Linked DNA regions of Saccharomyces cerevisiae S288C. The gene in region 2 interacts genetically with the main gene of each other region. Each region holds a gene or a part of one and is shown on either strand. Other genes may lie near its edges.

The links. A genetic interaction does not mean that the proteins touch.
Region 1: mutations in SLA1 (region 2) and CHS7 together harm fitness more than expected from each alone (negative genetic interaction), as found in Saccharomyces cerevisiae (6 studies listed by BioGRID, with this or other methods).
Region 3: mutations in SLA1 (region 2) and RVS167 are lethal when combined (synthetic lethality), as found in Saccharomyces cerevisiae (5 studies listed by BioGRID, with this or other methods).

The regions. Positions count from the first base shown.
Region 1 is NC_001140.6:381,906-385,882, forward strand, and holds CHS7 (Chs7p), read left to right. Parts: upstream 1-1,632; coding exon 1,633-2,583; downstream 2,584-3,977. Other genes in the region: 60S ribosomal protein eL42 RPL42B, read right to left, coding at 85-401, 843-846; DSE2 (Dse2p), read left to right, coding at 3,605-3,977. UniProt on the Saccharomyces cerevisiae protein: Chaperone required for the export of the chitin synthase CHS3 from the endoplasmic reticulum.
Region 2 is NC_001134.8:212,132-222,339, forward strand, and holds SLA1 (cytoskeletal protein-binding protein SLA1), read right to left. Parts: upstream 4,236-10,208; coding exon 501-4,235; downstream 1-500. Other genes in the region: HIR1 (Hir1p), read left to right, coding at 1-44; LDB7 (Ldb7p), read right to left, coding at 4,456-4,998; drug-responsive transcription factor PDR3, read left to right, coding at 5,339-8,269; YBL005W-A (gag protein), read left to right, coding at 9,199-10,208. UniProt on the Saccharomyces cerevisiae protein: Component of the PAN1 actin cytoskeleton-regulatory complex required for the internalization of endosomes during actin-coupled endocytosis. The complex links the site of endocytosis to the cell membrane-associated actin cytoskeleton.
Region 3 is NC_001136.10:1,248,202-1,253,028, reverse strand, and holds RVS167 (amphiphysin), read right to left. Parts: upstream 2,844-4,827; coding exon 1,395-2,843; downstream 1-1,394. Other genes in the region: GTPase-activating protein SAC7, read right to left, coding at 1-492; CIN10 (Cin10p), read left to right, coding at 3,208-4,827. UniProt on the Saccharomyces cerevisiae protein: Component of a cytoskeletal structure that is required for the formation of endocytic vesicles at the plasma membrane level.

The sequences.
Region 1 (3,977 bases), on a different chromosome or scaffold from region 2:
GAGTTAAGTATGCAAAATTTACAAAAAGTTAATGGTCAAAGTATAACTATAAAAATATAATAAAACAATAAACAATAACAACTCTCAGAATTGCAAAGCTTGACCCTTTTGCTTCTTTTCACCACCCAATTCGAAGTGCTTACATCTCTTCAAGGTTAATTGGGCTCTAGTCTTACATTTGACACATTCCAATCTCAAAACAACCTTCTTGGTAGTCTTAGCTTTCTTGTGGAAAACAGGCTTGGTTTGACCACCGAAACCAGATTGTTTACGGTCATAACGTCTCTTACCTTGAGCGAACAAGGAAGCCTTACCAGCTTTGTATTGAGTAACCTTGTGTTGAGTGTGCTTACGACAGGTCTTACCCTTACAGTAGGTCTTTCTGGTCTTTGGGACGTTAACTGGTTCAAAATGATATCACAGCAAATTTAGCATGATAGTTGATTGTTAGTAATTGATCTTAAAAAAAAAGTAATTTGACTGCACATGTAATTAGTTGTATCTTTTTTCTGTAATGGGGAAACGGCTAAATTCACAAATATCTAATGAGTATTACTAATGATATCCTCAATATATTTTCTAACCAGAGTTCTTATTAAAAGGGCCAATAAAAGTATCATTCAGGTGTTCAGTACTTTAGGAAATGATGAAAATATTTAACTAGCTCAAAAGTAAATGAAGTTTAATAACTATTAGTTTCTTGCTTGACATGGATTTGCCCTACGATTCAGGATATTTTAAAAAGTTCTTTAGCATTCTAGTAGTACCTGTGTACTAATTACACTCTCACGCCCTAATGGAGATAAATAACATGGTTTGTCTATTCCTAATCGTCCACATACCCATTATTACTGATTGTTTTTTTGCTTAATCTCCTTCAATTTACGTTAAAACAGTGAAAATACCACATCAATTAAGATATACATTGTCAACAATATGGATGTATCTCTGAGTTCATTTCGACGAATAATTTTACCTCTCTTGGTGGAAAGCCTTCCCTCCCCCTGGCGGAACCCATCATCCCGTCGAACAACTAAACCGTCAGCGTTGCCGCACCGACGGACGTCTCTCTAGAGGTCGTCTCTCCGTCTGAACATACGCACTGTTGGTACGATGCAGCGGCAGTCTGGCCGCATTTTTGACAGCGATCTTTTTTTGTATCAAGACTTCTTCCAATGTCAGGATTTATTTTCATGATGTATGGGTGTATCGGATGTTCGGATGTCACTGTCTTTTATTTTGAAGTTTGTGACAGAGAATGCTATGGAAAATAATATGTAGCAACATAGCCAACTAATTGCCATTGCATTAAATTTTGGCAGTACTATTTAAAATGCCATGTTTTATGTTGTTACAGTAAGTTATTGACATTCTTCTGGTGTTGCCCGCTTCGCTTTCTTAAAACGGTTAAATATTGAAAAAGTTTCACAAGACACGAAATCAAAAAGGATCCATTTTGGTATAAAAATAGCATATTGCATAACTTAACTAAAAAGATTAAAAAAAGTCAAAGCTACACTGGCATACTTTGAACTGTTTTTTCAAAGCTGTCTCCACGTGGAAAGTTTATTTCATCAAAACTATTATCAAAAATTGTGGTTTTGTTAATACAAAAGCTGATATATATATAATATGGCATTTAGTGATTTTGCTGCCATATGCTCAAAGACCCCGTTGCCATTATGTTCGGTAATAAAGTCTAAAACCCATCTAATACTTTCGAACTCAACAATTATACATGATTTTGATCCTTTAAATTTGAATGTCGGTGTACTGCCACGCTGTTATGCTCGGTCGATTGATCTTGCCAATACAGTCATCTTTGATGTCGGGAACGCATTCATAAATATTGGTGCTCTAGGTGTCATTTTAATCATACTTTATAACATAAGACAGAAGTATACTGCTATTGGCAGGTCTGAATATCTCTACTTTTTCCAACTAACATTGCTATTGATAATATTTACCTTGGTGGTAGACTGTGGTGTATCTCCCCCCGGCTCTGGGTCATATCCATACTTCGTGGCTATACAAATAGGACTGGCGGGTGCATGTTGCTGGGCCTTATTGATAATCGGGTTTTTAGGTTTCAATTTATGGGAAGATGGGACTACAAAGTCCATGCTGTTGGTCCGTGGAACGTCCATGCTAGGATTCATAGCCAATTTTTTAGCCTCTATTTTAACCTTCAAAGCATGGATCACCGACCATAAAGTAGCAACAATGAACGCTTCAGGGATGATTGTCGTCGTTTACATAATAAACGCCATTTTCTTATTCGTTTTCGTTATTTGTCAATTACTGGTATCCCTATTGGTAGTTCGAAACTTATGGGTCACAGGAGCTATCTTTTTGGGGCTATTTTTCTTTGTAGCAGGCCAGGTATTGGTTTATGCCTTCTCTACACAAATTTGTGAAGGGTTCAAGCACTACTTAGATGGCCTCTTTTTTGGAAGCATCTGTAATGTGTTCACATTAATGATGGTTTACAAGACTTGGGATATGACTACCGACGACGACTTGGAATTTGGTGTAAGTGTTAGCAAGGACGGTGACGTGGTGTATGATAATGGATTTATGTGAAATGCTTCTTTTTTCTATTACCATATATAGAAAATAGGTGTATACTATTAGTTTAATGTAATAAGCAGGACTATGACAAACCAAAGAGTGAAAGTAGCCGTTTCCACGTTTTAACGGCTTGTGTACACTTTGACAGTCAATCAGCGTAGTGACTTCTTTTATCAGCGGAAACAACCATATCCATAAAAGAAACGTGATGGTCGTTCCCGTAGTTTATTAAGTAAGATGACAAATTATCCTTCTTTAGTCAATTGAAAACAAAACTTCTTAATCTGTTTCCAATGTTTTAAAGTCGCTCATATGTTCATGACTACTTTTCCATGAGAGGGTTCTACGAAAAGCATCATCTTATTTTCGCAACGCTGCGGGTTTAGGCCTTTCCGCTGGTCTCTTTTCTGTTTACAGTTCTGCCCGAATGTAAACAAATACTTTGCGAAAAGTAAATAATGTATTCTGAAAAAAAAAAAGAGAACTGTGAACAATGCTTGATAGTTGTAGGAATATCTTAGAAGAAAGGGGATAGATTATCTGGAAAATCGTTTGAATAAAATAAGAACCAGTAATTCATTCGTTTAAATTGGAAAAACAAAACATAAAAGAACCAGCAATGTCTTGGTTGCCTGTTAATGTAAAAAGTTCTCCCAAAAGATGACAGGAAACTCGTTAACTCATACTCGGTATATAAGAGGAAACTTATCTAATGTTTCATTCATTCTTCCTCTTCTGCTTATTCGATGTCTATTGAAAAACTTCAAGTAAACCAGCAATATCGACTTCCATTAAGTAGACAGCGAGCCTGAAACAAAGAATATACTGTTTCAATTCCAACTAAAGCCACTCCCTCAAGCGTTATTATTTTTTGAATTATATTTTCGGGTTTTAAGCTAACTCTAGTCATTCCTTACTACATTTTATTGTAACTCTTCAGTAGAGCTAACCACAGTCATTCCTTAATATTTTTTAACACAGATCTCTTTCACAGAGTAGAAATAAAGCCACTCCTTTAACAAATTACAAAGAAATGAAATTTAATTTTTCTACAATTTTCAATATCTTATTCTTTTTATTCACCTTAATTGAAGCCAACAGCAATGGGGAAACAGTCAAACTTATTACTTCTGATGGTATTGTTTACAGTTATGCTGTCTACACAAAGACTCTTGCGCCGGCAAGGGTTGTGGTTAAAACGATTTCATATACTACTACAAGGGTATATCCGATTACTTTAGCTAATTCCGTCGTTTCTTCCACTACTGAAAAGATAACAGAGGTTTCAACGGTGTCAGCTTCAGAACAAGTTAGTGCTACTCAAACAAACTCATTGGTTTCTACTTCTACTGTTTCCACTATCAGTCCAACGATTTCATCTGGTTCTTCAACATCCTCTAGCTCTA
Region 2 (10,208 bases):
ATAAATGGACTAAGGATCTGGGTTGTTGGTCGTTATATAAATAATAAGCTTATACCCCTTCCTTTGGACAAGTTTTTTCCCTCATAATTACGTCTATATTTTATAAATATCATTGTAGTATTCGCATTGTTTAAGTGGTTACCATTTGAAACGACTCATACAGACAAGCGGTTACAGATGAAGCTTTCTGAAGGCACAGATCAGAAGTATTTTAATGTCGGTTGTCTATTAGTGGAACCAAAGTGACTACACACCTCCTCTGTCTGGAAGAAATAAATTCTTAGGGTCGACTCCACCATTTCAACTTTAGTATAATATGACAATAAAACATTATTGGGACTGAGAACGATTATATTAAAATTAGTAAAATACATACATAACTACTTATAAAAAAAAAAAGAGAAATTTGCCATTTTCACGAGTATAAGCACAGATTGTACGAAACTATTTCATATAGCTTGTTTTAGTTATTATCCTATAAAATCTTAAAATACATTAATCTAGAATCCAAACGGATTTGATGCAGTAGCATTGAATATGTTGGCTTGCCTTGATTGTTGAGGTCCATTACCAAACCCAAATCCAGTAGGTTGGTTCTGTAATGCTTGTTGTTGTGGTTGTTGCATAGCACCCCCAGTGTTAAAAGTGTTCATCATCTGTGGTTGTTGCATAATTCCATCGGTGTTGAATGTGTTCATCATCTGTGGTTGTTGCATAGCACCACCAGTATTGAAAGTAGTCATCATTTGGAGCTCTTGCATAACACCACCAGTATTGAAGGTATTCATCGTTTGTGGTTGCTGTTGTTGAAGAACGCCCCCTGTACTTAAAGTATTCATGGCTCCACCAGTGAACTGGTTCTGGTTTAATGGCGCAATACCTCCGGTTTTTTGTAAAGTCAAACCGAATTGGGATTGCGGCCGGAACCCGCCAGTGTTTTGAGCTTGAGAGCTGAACGAAGTCTGGGGAATCATGGCGCCTCCAGTATTAAATGTATTCAAAGCACCACCAGTTCTCTGCAAAGGCATCATTGCTCCCCCTGTAACTTGTGGTAAAGCATTGAAGGACGTTTGAGGCATCATTGCTCCTCCAGTAATTTGTGGTACAGCATTGAAGGATGTTTGAGGCATCATGGCACTCCCTGTATTTTGAGGTTGGGTCATCATTGCACCACCTGTTAATTGCTGTGAAACGCCAAATGATGTTTGTGGAATCATAGTGCCGCCTGTTCTTTGTACAGTTGGCATTGAGACACCAGTATTAGCTGAAATTAATCCATTAGCAGTTTTTTGGACAGGTAATATTGAACCTGTTGGAAGTTGTTGTTGCCCCTGAACATTGAATGAAGTTTGCGGGAATTGCGCACCTCCTGTGGTGGCAATTGGTATTAGGCCACCTCCAGTTTTTTGCAGAGGTAAGACGGTAGCTGCTGCGCCGAACGTAGTTTGTGGCATCATTGCGCCGCCAGTGTTAGAGATAGGAATTAACCCATTTCCTGTCTTTTGAACAGGTAGGATACCACCAGTAACTTGCGATTGCATACCAAAAGTTGTTTGTGGTACAACGAAGCCGCCGGTTCTTTGCATAGGCAGCATATCGCCCCCAGTAATCATTGGCATCATCACAAAGCCAGTAGATAAGGGTAAGATATTGTTGCCACCGGTTTTGAATGGATCCAATGGAGCGGGAGCAGATGAAACCGGAGCAGATGAAACCGGAGCAGCAGGAACAGTGGTGCCGCCAGTTTTCACGGGTTCCAAATCTTTTAGGTTTGGTTCAGGTGTCGAGGCAGCTGCCTTTTTAGGTTCTAAAGGTTGCAAGTCTAATAAATCCTGCATGGAACCAGTAAATTCTGATTTCTTAGAGAGTAAATTAGATTCAGACTTAGAAGCCGGTTTAACAGTCCAAGCATCATCTGTCTCAGCTGATGTGGAAGGAGCTGTTTGAGCAGGACTTGTTGTTTGTGGCAACAATTGCTGAGGCAGTGAGGTTTCCGGACTTGTAGCAACGTTCAATGAACCATCAGGTTGTGAAAACATATTTCCAGTGGCATTTGTAGGAATTGATGCAATATTTTCTCTTCCAAATTTCTTGTCAAGATGTTTCATTACTCTAACAATATCACCTTCGCGCAGACCCAAGGTTCTTAACATTGAGTTATTGATGTCAGGCATCATGTCTTCAGTAAGCTGTTCTCTATCAAAATTTATTGTATATCTTTGACAATTGCTTACATCAACGCCGCAATTCAAGAAAAATTCGAACCAATCATATTTGTTACTGGAGTTGTTGTTATTGCTGCTTTCGGCTGGTGGTACGGACGTCGTATTTGGAACGGAGGTAGTAGAGGTTGGTCTTGGTGGTTTTATTGGAGGCAATTCCTTTTCTTGCAACCTTGATCTTTCTTCATCTAGGAGTTCTCTGGCTTTTTTCAATTCGTATAATTCACGCTCTTTCAATCTCCTATCGCGTTCTTTTTCCTCCTGCTCCTTCAATCTCCTTCTTCTTTCTCTTTCAGAGTCTCTTGAATCAGTGCCACGGGAACTAGACCCATCATTCGCCTTAAATTTCTCTAAGGAGAACCCAGTAATTTTTTCCACATACGCTAAATCTTCATTGGATAGTTTATCAGCGGCGACAGCAATCTTGACACCATTAGCCTTGTGCAAGTGGATTTTCCCCTTAGCACATCCAATGAATTCTGCATCCACTTTGAAAGTACCACTTCTATCAACCCATAGACGCGATTTTTTTGGATTGGGGAAATCTTTGGTCGCCGAAGAGTTTTTTTTGTGAGAGGACAATGAACTTTTTCTTGACCTTTTACCGGCAGCACTACCTACAACATCGTTTTGTAGTTCATCATCTTTCCAACTGGCATTGGCATTGGATTTAGATCTTGATCTAGATCTCGACCTAGATGGAGATTTGGTGAAGTTTTTCTTGATAGACTTGATGATACCGCTTGCTGTAGATTCAGTATGTTTTTTGTCACGAACAGGCTCAATAAACTGTGCAGGAACGAGACCGCTTTTCCCTGAATCAACCAGTTGGCACATCCACCAGTCCTTAGATTTTTTATCATCTAAAATGTAGACTTTATCGCCTGATTTTATGGTTAATTCGTCCTGTGATTCAGCCATGAAGTCATATTGAACAATACCTCTCTTTTTGGATTTGGAAGCCATTTCGACTTCTCTCAACCCAGGATCACGGGAAGCACCTTTATATTCACCAATAATGTTCATGATCTCTTCACATGTGGTGGTATTACCAGTGTGTAATTCAAGGCTTCTATATGGATCAACAAATTCCAAGAACATGTGTTTCTTTTCGTTATCATAAGAGACCAATTTATCAATTGACCACTCATGAGGAGTCCCCTTTTGGGGTATGAAGTTTATCTTGTTGTTACCGATTGATAGCTTGGCCTTCTTCTTTTTCCTTCCCTCGATTTCGGTAACGTTCCAAGAGTGATACTCTGTATTGTATTCGTGATTTCCAACGTTGTTGCTGTTGCTGTTGTAATAGTAATCATCCTCTTCATCGTCATTATCGTTATCGCTGTATGATAGTCTTGTACGAGATCGAACAGCCGCAGCGGTGGCATCAGTAGTTTCGGTAGTAGCCGTTGGTCTTGCAGGCATGGCAGGAGGAGGGCCCTCTTCATCCTCATCTGGAGCTTGGTCTTCTTTACTTTGCATCATACGAGCTCTATCATTGTGTTGAGGAGGTGGTAAAAAGTTGGTGGGTAGTACGGCAGCAGAAGCAGGAGCGGCTGCAGGAGTAGCTGCAGGAGCTTCAGCGGCAGCGGGAGCCTGTTCCTGCTTGGAAGTGGACCCATTCTCTGGTTCGACGTAATTGCCTGGAATGAAGCCGAATTCATTGGAAACGGTAGACTTAACCAACAGCCAATCAGCATCTTTATCATCGAATACATCAAAAACGTCATTTTCATGAAACGTCAATTCTTCATCAGCATTTTGCACCTGTTCATAATCATAAATGGCTCTTACCTTCTTCAAAACAGGAGCTTCTTCAATGTAAGTGGAGGGCACTAGACCCACCGGTTCTTCGCTATCGGAACCAATGACTCTTTTCTTTACTGTCCACCAATCGTCAATGTCTGACTTCTGTAAGAGGTACAACAGATCGTCTTCTTGGATGGCCAGTTCTTCTGGTGTCTGCGGCTCATAGGCATAGACGGCCCTATAGATGCCCAGAAACACAGTCATACTCTAGCTCTTTTGTATATAACACACTCTGTCGCCTTGGCTATGTTACACTATCCCTTCTTTTAGGATTGCAATAGATATACATAGTATATATGCGCTAAATATTCGTTCTGTTTTCGTCTGATGTATCTCGATTTCGCATGAGTGGAAGGAAGCCCCTTTTAGGAATCGTATAGTCACTTTCTACGAAGCAACATTCTACCTCTATCAATTACATGGTTTAATCTACGCAGGCATGTTCTCTAAGTTGAGACCGCCTATGGGAACCTATAAATCGTGATTGACACCGTTTGCATATTATCACTTTTCTTTTCCTTTTAGCCTCGCTATTCCTGGGGCTCTCTATGTGTGATTGGAAGGGTAGAGACAATTGTCCTGCGCCGGCAAGAAAAACATCGTGTGTCTCTAGAGCAGCTTTGCATTCTAATGTGCGGTGGAAATGGTGCGAAAAGTCGACACTTGACAGGGCTTCCAACTGCTGGCGTGGCACATAACTGCCCAGCAGTGAATGGCCTACTTCATACTCCACCTGTGCCGCATCGGCGAGCGACACTTTACCGCCTAGGTAACCATGTACAGCTACTCTTTTGGGCTTGGATACCTTCGCTTTACTATTCTCACTGCCCTCTATGCCCTTGTCGGTAGCATGAGATTGTTGCGTAAGCTGTTGAAGCTCAGTCGCACTGAACACTACCTGGGATGACTTTTCCAGCGCTGAAAGCCCTGCGAGTACGTCATAGTATCCCATATTACTTCCACTCATTCTCAGCTATTCCTTGTTAACACCGTGCTCTGCTGCTTTCAGGTAAAGCCATTATTTCCACGACAACTGCATTTCACTTTTCATTTTCTTCCAGAACAACAGGCGCTGCCCTTGTTTCCGCGGAGCTGCCTCCTCTGCCGCTCGGACTTTCCGCGGAATAATAAATGAACTATCACAGTGAGTCTTAGAATGCAAATATGTAGATACTGTTATAGAATCTCATTAATGTATTTATGTATTTCCTGTGTTTGTGTCTTCAGGAGCCTTCCAAAGCAACCATAGGTCTTAGGCGACAACTGCATCAGCAGTTTTATTAATTTTTTCTTATTGCGTGACCGCAATGAAAGTGAAGAAATCAACTAGATCAAAAGTTTCGACAGCATGTGTCAATTGCAGAAAAAGGAAAATCAAATGCACAGGTAAATATCCATGTACCAACTGCATTTCTTACGATTGTACGTGTGTATTCCTAAAAAAACATTTACCGCAGAAGGAGGATAGTTCCCAGTCTTTGCCTACTACAGCTGTTGCTCCACCCTCTTCCCACGCCAATGTAGAGGCTTCAGCAGATGTACAGCATCTGGACACTGCGATTAAGCTAGATAATCAATATTACTTCAAACTGATGAACGACCTGATACAGACTCCAGTCTCTCCGAGTGCGACGCATGCTCCTGATACTTCCAATAATCCTACTAATGATAATAATATTCTCTTTAAAGATGATTCCAAATATCAAAATCAACTGGTTACGTATCAAAATATTCTGACAAATTTGTACGCTCTGCCGCCTTGTGATGACACTCAGCTCTTGATTGATAAAACGAAGTCGCAGTTGAATAACCTGATTAACAGTTGGAATCCCGAAATAAACTACCCCAAGCTTTCCAGTTTCTCTCCTCGCCCACAAAGATCGATAGAAACGTATCTTTTAACCAACAAGTATAGAAATAAAATACACATGACGAGGTTCTCCTTTTGGACAGACCAAATGGTTAAATCACAAAGTCCAGATTCATTTCTAGCCACCACTCCACTAGTAGATGAAGTATTTGGTCTTTTCTCTCCAATACAGGCTTTTTCACTAAGAGGTATAGGATATTTAATTAAAAAAAATATCGAAAACACGGGTTCATCGATGTTAATAGATACAAAGGAAACTATTTATCTAATATTAAGATTGTTTGATTTGTGTTATGAACATTTGATCCAAGGTTGCATCTCTATTTCTAATCCATTAGAGAACTATCTTCAAAAAATAAAGCAAACTCCTACTACGACGGCATCTGCTAGTTTGCCTACTTCCCCAGCACCTTTATCTAACGATTTAGTCATTTCTGTTATTCATCAACTACCTCAGCCATTTATACAATCGATTACCGGGTTTACGACTACTCAATTGATAGAAAATTTACATGATTCATTTTCGATGTTTCGAATAGTTACTCAAATGTATGCTCAACATAGGAAGCGCTTTGCGGAATTTTTAAACCAAGCTTTCTCCTTGCCCCATCAAGAAAAGAGTGTTTTATTCTCGTCATTCTGCTCATCAGAATATCTTCTATCTACTCTTTGTTACGCATACTACAATGTTACCCTATATCACATGTTGGACATAAACACTTTAGATTACCTAGAGATTTTAGTGTCATTGCTAGAAATCCAAAATGAAATTGATGAGCGTTTTGGATTTGAAAAAATGCTAGAAGTTGCGGTTACATGCTCCACTAAGATGGGATTGTCTCGTTGGGAGTATTATGTTGGAATAGACGAAAATACTGCCGAACGGAGAAGAAAAATATGGTGGAAAATATACAGTCTGGAAAAGCGTTTTTTAACTGATCTTGGTGATTTATCCTTAATAAATGAACATCAAATGAATTGTCTCTTGCCGAAGGATTTCAGGGACATGGGATTCATTAACCATAAAGAATTTTTAACGAAAATTGGTACGTCCTCTTTATCACCGTCATCGCCCAAGCTAAAAAACTTGTCATTGTCCAGGCTTATTGAATATGGTGAGTTAGCGATAGCCCAAATTGTTGGAGATTTTTTTTCAGAGACTCTTTATAATGAGAAATTCACGTCTTTAGAAGTATCCGTTAAACCCACAATTATCAGACAAAAGTTATTGGAGAAAGTTTTTGAGGACATTGAATCTTTTAGGTTAAAATTGGCCAAAATAAAGCTTCACACCTCAAGAGTTTTTCAAGTAGCTCACTGCAAATATCCAGAATATCCAAAAAACGATCTAATTGAAGCAGCTAAATTTGTAAGTTACCATAAAAATACATGGTTCTCCATCTTGGGTGCTGTTAACAATCTTATTGCTAGGCTATCTGAAGATCCAGAGGTGATAACTGAGCAAAGCATGAAATATGCGAATGAAATGTTTCAAGAATGGAGGGAAATTAATCAATTCTTAATACAGGTTGATACTGATTTTATTGTTTGGGCATGTTTGGACTTTTATGAACTGATATTTTTCGTGATGGCTTCAAAATTTTATGTGGAAGACCCGCACATCACTTTAGAGGATGTTATCAACACTTTGAAAGTTTTTAAGAGAATAACTAACATTATTTCTTTTTTTAATAATAATTTGGACGAGAAGGATTATGATTGTCAAACTTTCAGGGAGTTTTCGAGAAGTTCGAGTTTGGTTGCCATATCCATAAGAATCATATTTTTAAAATACTGCTATGCCGAACAAATTGATAGAGCCGAATTCATCGAACGTTTGAAAGAAGTTGAACCGGGTCTAAGTGACCTTTTGCGTGAGTTTTTTGATACCCGCTCTTTTATTTACAGGTACATGTTGAAATCCGTTGAAAAATCAGGCTTTCATTTAATAATTAGAAAAATGTTAGAAAGCGACTATAAATTTTTGTATAGAGACAAATTGGCCACTGGTAATATTCCAGACCAAGGAAATTCAAGCCAAATTTCTCAGTTGTATGACAGTACTGCTCCTTCATACAACAATGCTTCTGCCTCAGCAGCAAACTCACCGTTGAAGTTATCGTCTTTGTTGAACTCTGGAGAGGAATCGTACACTCAAGACGCATCAGAAAATGTTCCATGTAATCTGCGGCATCAAGATCGATCGTTACAACAGACAAAAAGACAACATTCTGCGCCTAGCCAAATAAGCGCTAATGAGAATAATATATACAACTTGGGTACTTTAGAGGAGTTTGTCAGCAGTGGTGACCTGACTGATTTATATCATACTCTGTGGAATGACAATACTTCATATCCCTTCTTATGAAAACGCAAAGAAAATAGGGAAGCAGAGCATAACCATAGTAAATGGGACACTTATAACTCAAGAATTTAATTGACCCCCTACTCATACTGAGGAATGTGGCGTCCTCGTCATTATATGTTCGTAAGCTAATTGGGCGAAACTTTAGTCTGTCCTTTCTGTTCGGTCTTCACATAAGATCAACGATTTCTTCATTAATTTTGGGCGCGCTGTTCAAAAAGGTCCTGGAATGCAGCTGTTCAGTAGATATTATATGTAATTATAGCCTCAACAATTTTTCTTGGATCGATTGGATGAGCTATTCACCCATAGAGGCTGGATTTTCCTTAGTTTGAGAATCTGCGACTCCTTCGCGTCTGACATCGGTCACTACGCTTTCTCTATTCTGCTGCCGTTGCGTTACTTTGATAAATTCATTTCTTTTTTTTTGTAATACAGAAGAATTTCTGGTAAGTTTTTGGCCTGTGCGTGTTCATAAGGGAAAGACATTGCGCATATAGGAAAATGTTAGAAGTTCAACATCGATAAAATGATATTGTGTAGAAACACCGATTCCCTTTTGTAGATTTCTATATCTTTGGGTATGACTTCTAGTATTATCTGTATATCTAATATTATAGTCTCTAACAACAGTGGAATTGTTGGAATAAAAATCCACTATCGTCTATCAACTAATAGTTATATTATCAATATATTATCATATACGGTGTTAAGATGATGACATAAGTTATGAGAAGCTGTCATCGAAGTTAGAGGAAGCTGAAGTGCAAGGATTGATAATGTAATAGGATAATGAAACATATAAAACGGAATGAGGAATAATCGTAATATTAGTATGTAGAAATATAGATTCCATTTTGAGGATTCCTATATCCTTGAGGAGAACTTCTAGTGTATATTCTGTATACCTAATATTATAGCCTTTATCAACAATGGAATCCCAACAATTATCTCAACATTCCCCGATTTTTCATGGTAGCGCCTGTGCTTCGGTTACTTCTAAAGAAGTCCAAACAACTCAAGATCCGTTAGACATTTCAGCTTCCAAAACAGAAGAATGTGAGAAGGTTTCCACTCAGGCTAATTCTCAACAGCCAACAACACCTCCCTCATCTGCTGTTCCAGAGAACCATCATCATGCCTCTCCTCAAGCTGCTCAAGTACCATTGCCACAAAATGGGCCGTACCCACAGCAGCGCATGATGAATACCCAACAAGCCAATATTTCTGGCTGGCCAGTATACGGGCACCCATCCTTGATGCCGTATCCACCTTATCAAATGTCACCTATGTACGCTCCACCTGGGGCACAATCACAGTTTACACAATATCCACAATATGTTGGAACACATTTGAACACCCCGTCACCTGAGTCAGGTAATTCATTTCCTGATTCATCCTCAGCAAAGTCTAATATGACATCCACTAATCAACATGTCAGACCACCGCCAATCTTAACCTCACCTAATGACTTTCTAAATTGGGTTAAAATATACATCAAATTTTTACAAAATTCGAATCTCGGTGATATTATTCCGACAGCAACAAGAAAAGCCGTACGTCAGATGACTGATGACGAACTCACCTTCTTATGTCACACCTTTCAACTATTTGCTCCATCTCAATTCTTACCCCCCTGGGTTAAAGACATCTTATCTGTTGATTATACAGATATCATGAAAATTCTTTCCAAAAGCATTAACAAAATGCAGTCTGATACTCAAGAGGTAAATGACATTACGACCCTAGCAACTTTGCATTATAATGGAAGTACACCTGCAGATGCATTTGAAGCAGAAGTCACAAACATTCTTGACAGACTAAACAACAATGGCATTCCTATCAATAACAAGGTAGCATGCCAATTCATTATGAGAGGTCTATCTGGCGAGTACAAATTTTTACCGTACGCACGTCATCGATGTATACATATGACAGTTGC
Region 3 (4,827 bases), on a different chromosome or scaffold from region 2:
ATTTGCTTTTAAGTATGCGCCGCACTTGGCTACCACGATGGGTATCCGACCAAAACTCACCAACTCACTTTGAACAATGACCTCTGCACTGGCGACGCTCAACGATTCTGCTAAAGTAACACCGAAAACCCTACCTGTGAAACCATTTCTATTAGATAAAAACATATCTCTGTAATTTTTGAACTCTGCGTGAGGCGATGTTCCGGAATTAGCGTTGTTATTGTTATTGTTCTGTTTCGCGGATTTGGAAAAGGATTTCCTATCTTTGGTTGGGGTATTATATGAATATGGTCTTGAAGATAATGGAGGCCGTTTTAAAGTAGTTGGTTGAGCATTCCTTGAAAGAGAAGTTGGTGATCTAGGGACTGTAATATTTTCGGATGACATACTCTTAGGGTTGTTTATGAACTGCTTCCAAAAACTTGGGACATGACCTTTAGAGGGAGAAACATTTTCAATTTTGGAGCCTTGTTTAAGAGTATTATTTGGCATTATAAAGATATTTTTAGTTTATCTTAGTGGTATTGAGAGGATGAAAGTAAGACCAAAGCAGGAATCAAATTGGAAGCTCGAAAGCAAACTTGTGAAGGCTAATTTCTCTGCCCCTCTACTTTAGAAAAAAATTGCTGTGAAATGAGAACGGCTTTTTGAACACTGCAATATAACTTTCTGGAGAAAATTTGTTCTGATAACTTTGTGATGCGTGAAAGCTTAAGAGATCAAAAATATGTGGAGTTTTCAAGTCACTAGTGAATAAAACCAGTGGAATGGGTAAAAAAATTTTTTGTAACGGGCCTGCTATTCTAGGAAACCTAACGAAGACTTTATCAATTTGTTTTTCCTCTTCTGAGATCGTCCGATCAAGCCTAACAGTTTCGCGAGTAAAAAGGATGATTTCTTCTAAATTTAGTATTAAAGTAATGAATGCGTACACCCTGCTTGAAGATGTTGTGCAATGTAGCTCAGTTTCTTCCGCGCCAGGCCACTAGTCTTGCTTTTTTCCTGTTTGTCAGCACCGGTTTCCCAACTGGGCTGTGTCATCGACAAGACAGAGATGGTGTTTTATAAAAGAGAAAGGAGACTGAGGAACGTCGTTTTAGGAAGACTAGGCGAGGTGAGCGAGAAAACTGATTTCCCCATATGGTAGGCTTTGTACCATATTGGGAAGGTGGCAGCCCTATTGGGAACGCGCTCCTTCCCTTTTGGGATATTGTCAGTAGGGTAATATGCTCGCCGCATGCCCGTAATAGATAGACTCAAACGATACTTTGTTGGTGGAAGGATGAATTACCCTATATAGTATTTAAATTAAGAAACATTACAATAAAAGAAAAAGGTAATGGTAACATCTCACAATAGAAGGTAATGAATACAGAGGGATGCAGGGGCCTCCTCTAGTTCTTGTTGAGTTGCACGTAGTTCCCAGGAAACACACCTTGCTGGCCATTGTATCTTCCTGTCCACCATTCGTTCACGTCCGGAGTACGCTGGACAATTTCTATAACTGCGCCGGCAGGGAAAGACAAATCACCAGCAGCTTGAGCTTGGTAGTCATACAATGCGGTAACAGTTTCAACGCCAGGAGCTGCCGCTACGGCCGCGGCTGGTGTGCCCGCAACAGGTGATGTTAGAGGATTAGAGTAGGCCGGTGGTGGTCCCTGTTGCTGCTGTGGTGATTGTTGGAAGCCTAGCCCAGTGAGCGGTGGAGATTGCGCAGCAGCATACTGTGGATAAGTACCCGGAACAGCGCCAGCAGCAGCACCAGCAGCAGTACCAACAGCAGCAGCAGTACCAACGGCGGCAGCAGTACCATACTGGGCAGCAGGTTGAGCGGCGTAACTTGGTGCTGCGGCACCATAACCGTATCCTGTAGGGGTTGGAGAAGTGGCAGTTGCTGGATCATACCCAGCACCATATCCGACACCGCTTGATGCGCCACTGACGGGTGAGCCTTCGGCGGTTGCTACACCATACTTCCTTCTGGTCATCTCCAATTTTGCCTTAGAGTAACCGAGTTTAAAGTGTGTAATAGTCAAGGCGTCCGTTTGTTCTTCCACATTGCCTTTCTTGGCAATGTACGACTCTACAATGTCACTGTTCAAATCAAAATATGGAATCTTCATGTCTTGAAGTCTATTATACAAAGTGTAAAAAATGTTCAATTGCATGAAATAAAATGAGACAAATAATGGTTTCACAAATTCAGCTTCCAAACTGAACAGTATTGGTAATTGAGTCTTTAGCAAGTCGTTATAGTAATCATATTCTTGTTGAGCCACTTCCACTTGAGCTTGTGCTTTATACAATCTTTCTTCGTCTTTGGCGGTTGGTTCCTTCTTCTTTTCATGCTTGTTATAAGTGTTTAGATGTCTATCTAAATCTAATTTTTTGTGATTTCTCTTGGTGGCCATTTTACGAATATAAGTAATAATCTTCAACAGTTCCTGGCATGGCGTAACAATTTTTTCTTCCACCAAAGCCAGATCCGGTTTCAATGTTTCCTGTAATTCTGCGACAATTGCCCTATACTGTTCACTTGCTTCAATACCTTGTGGGTTGTCCTCTGGTATGGTAGCGTTAGGGTCACTCATTTTACCACTGATAGGTTTGAAAATTTCCTCCATGGATTTGGCAAATCCAATTTGGTGTGTCAGCATTCCATTCACCGCAGTCGAGTATCTCTTCGATTCCTCACTTAATTTTTTTGTCTCCTGCTCCAATTCTTGAAAACGACGTTCTGCATCCTCGTAAACAGGATCCTCTGTCTGCTCACCCATCTTGAACTTTTGACGGAAGGACTGAGGAGCCCTACTAACAGCCTTGGTAAACCCTTTAAAACTCATGTGCACTTATTGGCTCCTTGATTCTTGGTGTTAAATGACCAGGTGAGCCTCACTTTACTTTATTCCTTAAAACAGGTTGTTAAACATCGACACTACAAAGCCCTCTCCTTTTTTTTTTCCGGTACCAATATTATCGCAACATCCGAACATCGGTCGGATTGATAATTTAGTCAGGTAGACTACCATAGCAACTGGAAGGTATACATAACAAAATTTCCATACGAAAGGAACTTCTTGAACTATATACAACCTTATATGTGCAACTGTAGCGTGCACTTATAGTCCATGGTCAAAAAGTATCTTTTCTCAGTAGAAAACAAAAGCGTACAGGCAAGCGACAGGAAAGTCAAAACTTGATAGAGGTATGTCTACAGATGAAAGTGAAGACGTTTATTCTGATCTGTATTCCATTATCTCCCAGGTAACATCCAATACTGCCAATGACATCGAGCAACTCCCATATGCTTTAACGTTCAAAACGTCGTTAATCTTCGTTGGTGCTACCATTGGTGGGCTTTTATTCGGCTATGATACTGGTGTTATATCAGGTGTTCTGCTTTCTTTAAAGCCCGAAGATCTATCTTTGGTAGTTTTAACGGATGTTCAGAAGGAGCTGATAACTTCCAGTACAAGCGTCGGATCATTTTTTGGCTCTATTCTGGCATTTCCTTTAGCAGATAGGTATGGAAGAAGAATTACTCTCGCAATCTGCTGTTCAATTTTTATCCTAGCTGCAATTGGAATGGCTATAGCAAGAACATTGACGTTTTTGATTTGTGGGAGATTGCTGGTTGGGATCGCTGTTGGAGTGTCTGCCCAGTGCGTCCCTCTATTTCTGAGTGAAATTTCACCTTCCAGAATCAGGGGTTTTATGTTGACATTGAACATTATTGCCATCACTGGAGGTCAATTGGTTTCCTATGTGATTGCGTCCCTTATGAAAGAGATTGATAATTCATGGAGATATTTGTTCGCACTTTCTGCTATTCCAGCTATTCTGTTCCTTTCAATACTGGATTTTATCCCTGAATCGCCACGATGGTCCATTTCCAAGGGAGACATTCTATATACCAGGGATTCTCTAAGAATGCTATATCCTACTGCATCTACATATCATGTGAATAGTAAAATTAAGCAGCTGATAATTGAACTCGATAAGTTACGACTATACGAAGATGCAAGTGAACCTTTACTAGTACAGTCCCAATCGGTTATTCGATACATGGATAGTTCAACCTCAGGAACTCTTAGCCCACCTAACATTAAAAGACTTTCCTCGAACACAGAAAGAACTAGCAACACAATGTCCTCCTCATCAGCATATCTATCGGCGTTGCGAGGCCCAGCTCCAAACGGTGCCCTGGCATCTAACAAAAAGAAAAGACACAGAATGGAGCCACGCACAATAAGAGCGTTAATAGTAGGTTGCATGTTAATGTTTTTCCAGCAAATCACTGGCTTTAATGCTTTTATGTACTATGCGGCAATAATATTTTCCAAATTTAATATAAAAAACCCTCTACTGCCTCCAATTTTGATTGCCTCAACGAACTTCATATTCACTTTTTTCGCCATGTACACCATGGACTCTTTGGGAAGAAGAGCCATTCTTTTGAGAACAATTTTGATTATGACTGTTGGGTTACTTCTTTGCAGTGTAGGTTTCGGTCATGACCAAGTCAATTTACTTTTAATTTCTGTTGTAATTTATGTTGCAGCATATGCTTCTGCGATGGGCAGCGTTCCATGGACCTGTGTGGAATTTCTCCCCTTGAACAGGAGATCATTTGGGGCATCATGTATAGCCTGCACAAATTGGTTGACCAATGCATTTGTTTCAATGACATATCTGAGCACTATTAACACCATTGGTGATGAAAATACAATGCTCATTTTTGCTTTTTTCACAGTTTGTGCCTGGTTTTTCGTATATTTTTGGTATCCAGAAGTCAAAGGTTTGTCACTGGAAGAGGTTGGAAGGGTT